Linked DNA regions of Oryzias latipes. The protein of the gene in region 2 interacts with the protein of the main gene of each other region in a biochemical or structural test. Links are inferred from orthologs where the notes say so. Each region holds a gene or a part of one and is shown on either strand. Other genes may lie near its edges.

Evidence for each region.
Region 1: the proteins of nedd4 (region 2) and yod1 form a complex in vitro, tested with the Homo sapiens proteins (2 studies listed by BioGRID, with this or other methods). The link is inferred for Oryzias latipes from reciprocal best matches to the Homo sapiens genes NEDD4 and YOD1.
Region 3: the proteins of nedd4 (region 2) and rnf7 form a complex in vitro, tested with the Homo sapiens proteins (2 studies listed by BioGRID, with this or other methods). The link is inferred for Oryzias latipes from reciprocal best matches to the Homo sapiens genes NEDD4 and RNF7.

The regions. Positions count from the first base shown.
Region 1 is NC_019863.2:31,016,624-31,020,718, reverse strand, and holds the start of yod1 (ubiquitin thioesterase OTU1), read right to left. Parts: upstream 2,801-4,095; 5' UTR 2,703-2,800; exon of another isoform or gene 2,698-2,702; intron 818-2,697; 5' UTR 789-817; coding exon 581-788; intron 344-580; coding exon 1-343. UniProt on the Homo sapiens protein: Hydrolase that can remove conjugated ubiquitin from proteins and participates in endoplasmic reticulum-associated degradation (ERAD) for misfolded lumenal proteins.
Region 2 is NC_019861.2:21,566,873-21,571,151, forward strand, and holds the start of nedd4 (E3 ubiquitin-protein ligase NEDD4), read left to right. Parts: upstream 1-1,479; 5' UTR 1,480-2,061; coding exon 2,062-3,360; intron 3,361-4,279. UniProt on the Homo sapiens protein: E3 ubiquitin-protein ligase which accepts ubiquitin from an E2 ubiquitin-conjugating enzyme in the form of a thioester and then directly transfers the ubiquitin to targeted substrates. Specifically ubiquitinates 'Lys-63' in target proteins.
Region 3 is NC_019871.2:22,564,810-22,568,235, forward strand, and holds rnf7 (RING-box protein 2), read right to left. Parts: upstream 2,015-3,426; 5' UTR 1,957-2,014; coding exon 1,794-1,956; intron 1,670-1,793; coding exon 1,622-1,669; intron 891-1,621; coding exon 772-890; 3' UTR 501-771; downstream 1-500. UniProt on the Homo sapiens protein: Catalytic component of multiple cullin-5-RING E3 ubiquitin-protein ligase complexes (ECS complexes), which mediate the ubiquitination and subsequent proteasomal degradation of target proteins.

The DNA of each region.
Region 1 (4,095 bases), on a different chromosome or scaffold from region 2:
TAAAACTTGGACAGTATGGAGACCTCGATGGCCCCCCCCCAGGTGTCGTCCCGCCGGATCCAGGCGCAGTAGTCCTCGTTAGTCTTCCCCAGCACCGCCTCGCAGTACGCCGCGGGGTCACTCGACACGATCTGGGCGATGAGGCCGCGCATCTCCGGCGCGCAGGCGGGGTCGTACACCCCTCCCTCCACCACGTAGTACACGCTGGTGAAGAGGCAGGAGTTGTCCGCCGGAACCACGCGGCGTGCCAGCACAGGCGAGGCGTCGAGGCGCGGAGCTTTCACGACCGGTTGGTCCAGAGGCTTCGGCTTGTTCTTTTCTTCCTCCACAATCAGGGTGTCTCCTGTGGAGACGACGACAGCGCTGAGTCACACACCGGCTTATTATGGTATGTAGGGACACCCGCCCCTCTACAGAACTGCCTACCACATCACCACAACTGGGTTTGGTTCTACACTAAAACTCAAAATAAAACTGAAAGGCGTTTAGCTTGAAAATAGTTCCTATTATTTGTGGCATAGTTTGTTTACCTCTCCTATCATACTAGCAGATTTAAAGGCTGCTCCGCTGCTGGACGTACCTGATTTGATGGGGTAGTCTTTGAGGTGAGCGTCTCCATTTCGAAGGTCAAGGCTGGATGGCGGGTAACCCACCATGATTTTCTGTACATCACAGGGAATCCCCGTCAGCTCCTCCACCTTGCTCTTAAGCTCCTGCACGCAGGACTGGTGAGTCAAACCATGCATTATGTGGCTCCCGTTTTTGGTCTTGCAACGAAGGCGCAACATCCTGCCTACGAAAACATGCAGTTTTGAATCTGAAAGCAATTAAAGGACTTCAGGAGACGGCAACAGTTCAGAGGACAGAGGTGATGCGGTTCAGAGGCAACAGACCCTAACCGAAACCTTTTCTGTGTGCAACGACCCACAAATAACCAAAACAGACATTTGAACTCAACTCAATGAAAAAGTTTTCCTTCAATAATTCCTTTGGCGACAGGAAAGGATTTTTTGGACAGGATAATACAATCCCACAATTCTTTGCAGTCAACAGATGCTGGTGATTAACGACGAGAAGCATTACAGACACAGAGAAATACATGTTAGTATTTGTAGTACTTCGGGGTTATATAACTGTCCAATGAAACAGATGCTCATTGATAAAGTTGTGCACAACTTTGGGGGAAAAAAAAGAATTCATTTCCCTTTACGTTTCAAATGTCTGCTGTGAATATAATTTGGCTTGTTTTGTATTAGACTTTTCTTAGGCTTGAATAGGAACTTTCAGCTGTTAAATTGGTGTCAAAAACACGTAATTCACACGTTCAGCAAAGTGTTCTGCATGGCGAGGCTCATTTTCTATGCACACTTTTTCCGAAACGTTTTGCTGCCGCATGGAAAGAGTCGTCTACACCCGTCTGCCGGCGACTTTAACATTGTAAGAAAGTAAGTAAAGTAAATCTTTATTTATATAGCACCTTTCTCCGAGAGCGACTCACAAAGTGCTTCAGAATGTTAAAACAAAATCAGCTGTAGGAAAAAAACTAATGGATGTGCGCCCAGCTTCCAGATGTTGAACGATTCTCGCGCTCGTGTGCCCCCGTTTTCCCCGCCAACAAGTGTTTGACCTTTTATGTGACGGAGTCTTTCCTAAAGGTGTAGGGTTTTTTTCATTAGGTTTGTGGAATTAATAGTTTTTTTCGTGTTTTTGGCTTTTTGTCCCCCGTTCCTCTCGGTTTCCCCTTTGATCTAGCAGAATACAGATCCATTTCAAACTGACTCTTATTTGAAATGAATCTTTTTATGTTTTGGAGGTTATTTGTCAAAATGAAAAGCACCTCCTCAATGTTGGGGCATTATAGAGCCAGACATGGGAACGACAAATATTGTGTTTTGATTTTTATCAGCTGCGTTTCTTAACTTGGTTGCCTTTCATGGTGTTTTTGGTCCAGCAGGAGTCAGTTATGAGTGACACAGCATCGACACTGTCGACTCTTTGTATAATAATCTGAGGTGTCAGTGGTTTGTTTTTAGGATATTATGTTCCACATTTAAAATCAAAGCAGCTATATTAATAACAGACAGTGGTATTCCCATATTTATATCATAAAGATCAGTGATTTAGAAGCTCTTTCACAATAAAAGTCTTTCAAAGTTAGGTAAGTGCAGCAGAGCTGGAGCCTGTTTTAGTTTGCTGTTGATCCTTTAGGAGGCTCATGCTAAATGCTGTCAGAGCAAACACAACAAACTGCTGGAAGCAGCTTCACAATGACGAAAACAAACACACAACAATCGAACTGCTGACGACGAGAAGTGCAGTAAATGTGTGACAGCAAAAGGTTTTCCAGCTCTTTGTTACGACATCTTTCTGAGGGGTTAAGCTAGGCTAACAGACGACTGTTCAGCGCTGGAGCAGCTTCTACCAATTTAAATCGTGTTTTTTATTTATTTTATTTACAACTAACATAAATTCATCAAACTTGAAAAACATGCAAAAAGAGTTCACGCTGGTTTGTTTAATTTAACAGCAAACCAAGCACTAGTAGTACTAGGCGCTAACGTTAGCAGGCTAACCCACATCAAGTTGACCGAACAGTTTCAGCCCGTTAGCATTCAAAGAAAGTTTTTAAATTATTCAACTTTTCCATCTTTTCTCAGAAACAGAAATCCAAATAGGCCGTTTGTTGTGTAGACTTACCTCACCTTTTCAGCAGTCCTGCCTCAAACAATGAACGTTAAATGAGGGGGGTCTGACAACAGTTTGCGTCATGACGTCATGACGCAAATTGCTGGTCTTGTTAGATTTTTTTGAGCAACTTTATTGAACAGAGTGCAAGTTACAAGAGAACTTTTTTTTCTTCTTTTTTTAATTAATACATTTGATTTATAAACAAAACAAAAAAATACAACAAATTGCCAAGGAGAAAAAAAATAAAACAATACAGACATATAGACAGACCTTGACAGTCACAGTACAACAGAAGAAATTTGTTAAATTTGGCTTTTTTGCTTTAATTTGTTTGATAATTTTACCATCTTGTTGTATTTCATGCAGAGACTGTTCAAAGTTTGGTTTGCAGTTTGACCATTTCTTTTTATGATTAAGAAATTTCCCTAAAAACAAAATAAACGTTATTATAAAAAATAGTTCTGGTCTGTGATGTCATCATAACACCCCGAAATTACATCTTATTCTGAAAGTCTGATTGTTCTCCCAGTTTTAGGGCTAATATAATTTCAAACATCAGTCCAAGATATATTTGTGTTGATACAATTTACAAACATATGATAAAAAAGTCTCCCTTGTGATCCACAAAATGTGCAAGGCTGGCTCACATCCAAAACAAATCTACCCCAAATTTTTTAAACAGGATATCTGCAATGTGGTATTTTACATGACACTTCTTTTATGTTGTTATTTCAACAGTATTTCTTTGTGATAAGAGAAGAAATGTAATGGGGTAAACAGAGTGTCAACCAGGGGGGGTACTTAAATAAATACATGCAAAGATTCACAAATATCAACTGTTTTGGGAGCATTTCTGTTAGAAGAGTTGGATTTTGATTTCCTGTGTTCTACTTATATGTTTATCTTGTTGAACTTGCTTGTCTTTTGTCTCAATTTTATTTTACAGACCTGCAAAATCAACAGCCTAATTCTGCTTCCCTTTGCTCCATAAAGAAAATCTGTGTTTCATCTTTTAATCACACTGGAACATTTTTTAACTCATTCTTGGAAAATAGATATTTAAAAAAATCAAATAGCTTCCAGAATCACCGGTCTTGGACTAAAAGCTGGTCCTGGTGGACTTCAAGGCTTCTTGTCTATATGGTCTCTCTGAAAGAAACATCTCAAACATGTAATGGTCTGGATAAGTCTGGATAAGTCTGGATGTGTCTGGATAAGTCTGGATGAGCAGGGGTGGCAAACATTTTGACTCTTGGGCCATAAAAGGTTCTAAAATTTGCAAGAAGGGCCGGACCAGGAGTGTTTTGGTAATCCACCGTGTAAAAAAACATGGAATCTGAGCCTAAACACACAGAAATTTGATTAAATTAATATATATATATCTTTAAAAAAATGACCTCTGGGAGT
Region 2 (4,279 bases):
ATCAAACACATTGGGAAACACTGATAAGGTTGGGTTGGCATAATGTAAATTCTCATTAACCATTTGCACTGTAGTGGTTCATTTTGGTCTCAATGGACTATCTTTCAGAGATTCTGCTTCCTATTTATTACATCCTAATGGATATCTTAGCCTCCATGCTTCTAATTTGTCAGTATAGGACTCAATGTGTAACCACAAGGCTCTTTAGAACAGAAGATTGTCTTGCTCCATTTAGATCGAGAACTGAAAGATTTCCTGGATCCTGGATGAAGTGGTGACTCAAACATCAAACTTCTATGTTTTATCAAAAACATGTGTCCATGGCAATTGCTTAGAATGATTCCTTAGAATTTGATAGTCTATGTTTATGCTGTAATTGGTTTTTATCTAATAGGTACCATCTGCAGACTACAAGTTTTGATTTTCTGTTCACTTTTGATACGCGCAACCTGATTCTGCTAACGATTTTTCCAACTTTAAAGAAGTCAGTATTAAATATTGTAAAAAAAATAAAATTATAAATATTTGGCTAAATCAGTGATGTGACATTGTCCATTCCTGGTAGGTTCCATTCCATACATGTTAGTGTTTCTCCGCTCGATTTAATTTTGTATTACTGCTCAATTTCAGTCTCACTGATACATCCAGTTGGAGCAGTTTGATTTATTTCAGAGCTAGATTGGTTGGTTTACTGTAAAGTAAAATAGTTAAGATTTAGACTGACTCCTATTTTACCTCTTCAAATTCTCCTCAGATCTTATCTCAGAGTTTCCATTTGTAGCAACAATATCTTGCACTCTTAAATGTTGAGTAAATATGACCTTGTTTACTTCTGCGTCATGGAACATGAGATCCGGCAAAGCTCCTTCATTGTATTAATATATTACATCATGATACAGTTGTGTAGATTGACAAATATGTGTGTGGTGTTAGTCATACATCTTATCTTATGGCTGACCTATCACCATCACTCTCCTCTATCAGTTCTGGGGAGTGACTCATCTGCAGTCATGTGGTTCACTGGTCATGTGAGACATTGTTCCACCATGAAAGTGAGCAGGAAAAAAAGTGTCTGCTCGTGAGTCATGTCATTATCCTAGCTTTGCTTCTTAATATTAAACATTACCACCGCTCTGTATTGGAAAGCAGAGTAATTATCGGAAATAGACCAGCCTAGCTAACAATAAGCTTCCATTAATAAACTGGACTGTCAACAGCCATGGAAAAGAAATCAGAGCAGCAACTGGCTGTTACATGCGGAGTCATATAACCAGTGTCGTGTGACGGTAATGTCACAGTTATTATAGTTTTTATTTTAAAAGAAATATCCTTTAGCTCAGTGTTTAGCAGTTTGTTGGATCCCTGCTCAAAACAAGTAATTTAGCATTCTAGTTTATCACTTTGGAAGTCTCAGCATTAATGCTGTTGTGCAGCTTTAAATCTGTCTTACAATCCAAATGATCTATTTCTTCAACTTGAGCTTCAGTTTGATTCAGAATTATGTTGAAAGTCTTTCATTTTGATTTCCTGTAATTTCCTGTAATTCAATAGTAGAAGGTAAAAATATTTGTTGGAGGAAGGAGCAGCGAAACATTAGATGAACTGCAGTCACAGGAAGTGCAGTCCTGAGTGAGTGAGCCAAAGCAGATGTAACAGTTCACTAGACATTCAGCGTAAGTCTGCCTTCTTCAAGCTGGTTTTTCTTTCTTTTTAAAAGAGTAAACAAGATTGAATAAGATCGAGAGGGCAGACTTTCGATAATGGCATAATTACTTGTGTTTTACTGTAACTTTGTTTTCTGTTAGGGGGTCTGCTCTGGTTTTAAAATTGTTCATTTGGGTCAAGTATCCAAACAGAACCACTGGCCCCTTCTGACTTAAAGCTGAGATGAGCCTGGAGAGGAATGTAGGTTGTCACCAGAGCTATTTTGGCAATGTCCAGTCGCTAATGATTGTGATCACAGCGGAGTGCGCAGCAGTTGCTTTACTTGCTTCTTTTTCCTACCAGCAAGTGTGATCATGCTGCTCTTACAGGCGCTGCAGGGATTAGGGAGTTAAACAAATGGCGCGTCGGCTCCGCTTGCATTTCGCGTCAAGGAGAAGCAACACGGACCCCCTGTCACAAAGCCCGAGCAGCCACGATGAGGAGAGCGGAGTTGGTGCGTCTGTACGTAGTCCCACACAGAGTCTGGCGCACAGTTCTGTCCACTTGAAGGTGACTCCTCTGTCACCAGACTTTGCCAACAGTCAATACTCTTCAGTTTTCATACCGAGAGTTAACACTGGAGGGTGTAATACGAAGAGCGTTCTACAAATCTCACTGCAGCCCTGTGGACAGCTCAGTGGAGAGCAGGATGGCAGCATAGAGGATGGAGACCCTGGGGTTAATGAAGGCGGCGGAGGGTCGTGCCACAGCAGCATGGCAAGTGATGCTGGTTACTGCAGCAGCAACAGCATCTTTGAACCGGAGCCTCCAGAAAAGCACAAGACCAACCACGAGAGAACTCGACTCTCCTGGAGAACCAGAGTCCCACTGCGGAGGTGCTCGTCTTTGGTTATATTTCCAAAAAGCCCCTGCAGCACTCCACCTGCCTCCCCAGTGAGTTCAGGAGCTTTGCCACCTCTCCTGCCAGCAAGAGGATCTAGTCATTCAACTCCTCAGTCATCTACCAATACATTTTCACAAGACGACGAGGAAGTAAGTTACAAAGGGTCCACCACAGCTGCAGTCAGTTGCCAAAGTCAGCCAAGAGGAAACTGTTCAGCAGCTGAGGACTCGAAACACACGGTGCACTTTAATCTGCCTGTACAGGATAAACAGCAGTCCAAAGCTGAGAGCAGGAATGCAGGGGCAGAAGTTTCATCAGCTCCAGACAGGTCTAATCGTCACTCAAGTAGTTTGCTGCTGCATTTTACCCCCCACAGTCCACAGGGCTCGACAAAGGCAGCTCTCAGTAAGGATGCAAATGTGGAATATCCAGAGGCTCATCACCCTACTAATCGTGCTGAGCATGTACATGATGGGAAAAAAAAACTGTATCGCAGTACCTCTGCTTGTTTGTTTCCTTCTACAAAACCATCGCCCAAAAGGAAGCCTTGTTTAACGGGGAATGGCCAAGACTGGTCTGAGGATGGTCGCTGTCACCGTGCCGTGCAAAGGAGTTTTTCCCTCGAGGTGCCGTACCCTAACACCGAAATTTCATGTCACGTTTCAAAACCGAAGCTCAGCAGCTCTTATTCTCCCCATGTGCATATTCATTTGTCGCCCTGTTGCCCCACAAAGTTGCCCAACTCTACCAATGATGTAAACACAAGCCATAAATGGAATAATGAAACAAAGAGTTCAGGTCAGAGCACCAAGGTGAGTGCTATATTTAACGCTAACACCGACTAACAGCTGAATGCCTGAACTGGGATGTTGTGAAAACTAACATCTGTCAGAATTTTTTTTTAATGTAGATTATTGCCATATAGTTTTTCTGTGACATAAGTTCTGCTGAAAAAGTTGCTAAATAAGTCTAGCTTACAAAGATGTAATCTTACCCATCAGGATACTATTTAAAACGGGGTAATTGGTGCAAAATGCAAATGACAGGGTTTTATAAAATATGTAAATAACAAATAATTTAGAATTTTTGCTACCAGAAAAAAAATAGTTTCAATAAAATTTAAAGAACAATGCTACATATTAAGTACACATTTGTTTTTTCTAACTCTCCTTTTCATTTACTACCACTAAAGTGTTGCTTACAAGGGTTAGCCTTCAGGCTTTGTTCAAGACGTGCTGTAACTCCATAAGATCTTGAATACAAAGTCACGCAAAGAACAAGTACAGTGTGGACAAACACTTAGAGATATTGATTTACATTATATTTAATCCTTCCAAATGTGGATTTCCAAATAATGTGTGAATTGCAAAGACATGGTTCTTTACCATCTTGGGGGCATAACAATCCAATGTTGGGCAAACTCAACAGTTCCCTACTTTTATGATTCGGTTAGCACTATGAAGGATCAACTTAAGTATATCCCAAGGCTAATTTTAGTGGTGGGAAAAGTGCTGCCCCTTGCTGACTTAAATAAAGGGGCTCTGAAATATTCCCCCTGACTCCAGATAGTCTGGTGGACTGAAGCACTGCTTGGTCCTGTGGATTCAAATTTAACAGCATGATACTAGAGCAGCACACAGTCATGCCAGCCATCTGTGGACATGGCATGTGTGTGCGTGTTTCCCAGTACGTGTGCTGCCTGCACTGTTGTTCGTCTTCCAAGCAATGTTT
Region 3 (3,426 bases), on a different chromosome or scaffold from region 2:
TCTCACAACAATGTAATTTTAAGATGCAAAAAAATTGACATTAGTTCTTAGGGAAAAAAAAATTAGTGTTTAGGGGAAAATAAAATCACCTTATTTATCCACTCTCACATTTGACCCATGGGTAAATGTGACCACATTGGGTCAATGTGTTATAAAAAGTTAATTATCAAAGACTTGTGTGTTTTTTCAGTAGTCATTTAGAAAAGTGTAAAACAATAGATGAGTTATTCTCAGCATAAAATTTAGAAAATTAGCTAAACGTTTCCCGTCAAGTGTTTTTGAGATTTCATGGAAACAGCCATTTTGAAATCAGCAGGAAAAGTCATTCTACTGCCCCTAGTGGAATGATGATGAATTACAGGACAGAAAACATGGACCAATGGTTTTTAAAGAAAGTTTGGATCATGTTAATAATATTGGGGTCTCAGGAAGGCATGTATAAAATATGATGCAAATGGTTATATAGGATTAATGGAAACTATTCAAATGAAAACAGACCTGCAGCTTTCACAATTCTTTTATTTCTAAAATAAAAACCACTTCTTGTGCCAAACATCGCAACATACATCAAAGTTAATCTTAAATGTCAAACACTGTAAATTGTCATCCATCCCTCCATGAGGCTTCTAAAGGGGTAGAGCAGCTGATCTGTACGCGTTTTTGTTCCCCGCCCTCCTTTTACGCTGTGACTACAGGAAACATGCGATGGCGAGCAGGAAGACGGCACAGGAGAAGGCCGGGACGGCTCTGAAGAAAACACGGGCTCAGTCCTCATTTGCCGATTCTCTGCACCACCCAGTCTTGTTGGCAGAGGGGGCAACGGTTGTTCTGCTTCACCCAGAGGGACATGCAGCAGTTGTGGAAGGAGTGGTTGCACTCCCCCCAAACAACTGGAAGATGGAGGCAGACAAACAGGTTAAAAACTGAATGACAAACATGTTCAAAGACAATATATTGTATGAAACATGTACGTTTTCATTAGTACTCTTATTTTCACAAACACAGCAGGACTTCTGTGACAGATTATAGAGAAATCTTCACATGAAGAAGGGAAGAACATTAAAGTTCGTTTGATTGTGTCTCAAACTATTAAAGACCACCTCCAATGAAAATCACGTTTTTGGCGTTCTTATCATGTTCTTGTGATTTTTTTTGTTTTTTGATGATGGAGGACATGTATAACGAACGATTGCTTTATTCAAATTATTAAAAAACATGAACTTGAACATAAAAGTGGCAATTCATCTCTTTATTACAGGCTATTTGGTAAATTTAAAAAAATCACAAAACAGTTTTTTTGTTTTCAGTGTTTATTTTGTTGCCAATGTAAGAAAACTACAAAAACATTAAGAAAGCTGTCTATGGTTGGATGTTTTTAATGTATTACAATGTGTTTTGTAGTGTATGTGCCAAACTCTGGCATTCTCACTGTTATTGTTCTATGTTCTTTTGTTGTATTTTACATAAAATAATAATAATAACTTTTTTCTTTCAATATCGTGAAAGCTGCGCGCCTGAGCTTTTATTGTGGTGGGACGCAGGGTTGATGATAACGCTCTTTAGCATATCCGGTTAACCGATTGTGCTGTTGATGCAACTTTTAGAGCTCGGGGCGTCTTACCGACACAGTCTTCCTGTTTGTTCTCCGCCTGACATCGGAGGCACGCGTCTGTAAAAGTGTCAGAAATAAAGTTAAAGCACCAAGCAGCCTACATCCACCAAACACGTCCGTGTTAGCTAAGCTAGCACGGGTTAGCCGGGTATGCGTCCCAAGCTAGCTGTCAAACACTTACCCATTACTTGTACCCGACAAATCGCACACGTGTCGCATTCCACGTCCCAGCTCCACATGGCCACAGCGTTCCATTTCTTCAGGGAAAACATCTTGTCACTCCCCGTCTTGGATCCCGAAGAGGTGTGAGAAAGCACCAAACCCGGCTCGTCCCCGTCGTCCATCTCTGCAGCTCCCACGTTAGCTTAGCTAAACAAGCTGGATGCTTGTTCTCACAGCGACGGCAGAGGGCGCTGTTTCTCTATTTTTAGTAAAAAGAAGAAACCATCTTGAAGTTTGCACCTGTTTTATAGTGTATGCAATTTTTTTAAAATATGCTTCAAGACAATTTATTGTATTTTAGGAAATTATATAAAAACATCTAACATGCTTTATATTTCAATAAAAAATGTAATGTCTTAATTTTAAAAACTAATTTTGTCTTGAAACTGTAATCTGTAGCATATAAACTACTCATTATTAAGGAATGCTCCACTGAAGATATGGACAAAGAAAAATCTAAAATGTAATCAGTCAGGAAAGGTTTCATTAGCTATTTTATTAAATGACATTTTAACACACCAGCTTATGTAAAAAATATACATCATTTGTTATGTAAACATGCTTCATATAAAGATGAACATCTAATTTGTATGTTTATATAAAAAACAAGCCATTAATATAATTAACTACAGTGTAGTATTATAATTTAGGAAAAAACACAATATAAAGTTTTCTCTTTAATGCTGCTGTCTAACAACACCTTAATATTTATTACCTATTTAACATAAATTATAGTATACAAGACAATAAAAAAATAAAAATAAATGCTACCTCATTTCATCAGATGTATTTAAACACAACCAAACAAATTTCCAGCTATACACAGAAATTCTTTTATACAGATATCAAATTTACTATCATAAAATACTTTTTTTTTCTAGAATGACATCAATGCTTTGCTTTTGTCATTTTTGTTAAAGGAGTCCATTTCTCAGGATGGACGGTCAACAGTAAGTTCAGAGGAGCGTTGCTTCCTTCAAAGCCTTCCATTTCGAAGCTGCTTTGTCCTTAAACGTGTTTCTGTTTAGAGATCCACAAAGGAAACTGTCAGTCTTCATCAGATGAAACAGAAACAGGCACAGAACATCATGGCGACGCCTCTGGAGTCTGAAACGAACTCTGATTCTTTAGGACAAGCTTCTGAAAGTTTAATTTGGCTGGCGGCTCCTATCTTTTCACAGCAGCTGGATCCTCAAGTGTGTTGTGAGTTCACAGACCATCTGTTGCATCACAAAGCAGCACTCTTAACTGGAAAAGTGTCTTAATGAAAGAGGAGCCAAAGTGTTTGCTGAGAAATCGTTTAGGTCAGGAAGTCCAAACAGAACATCAGCATCCACAGAGAGAGACAATGTTTTCATGAGTAATATGCAGTGTTTTATCCTTTGGACAAATATGTGTTCAGTTTTTTTGGAATAAATGACTCACTTTTACCCGTAAATCAATTTTGTTTCCCACATTCTTAAGGGTTCCTTTTAATTTTTCTGTCAGACTTTAGTCTGAGTTAACTTTGTTGCGATTCTTTTGCCATGTCTACATTTTGCATCTCTTGATGAGTCTCGTCGAGAAACAGGAAAGAGAATCCACCTCAGGAT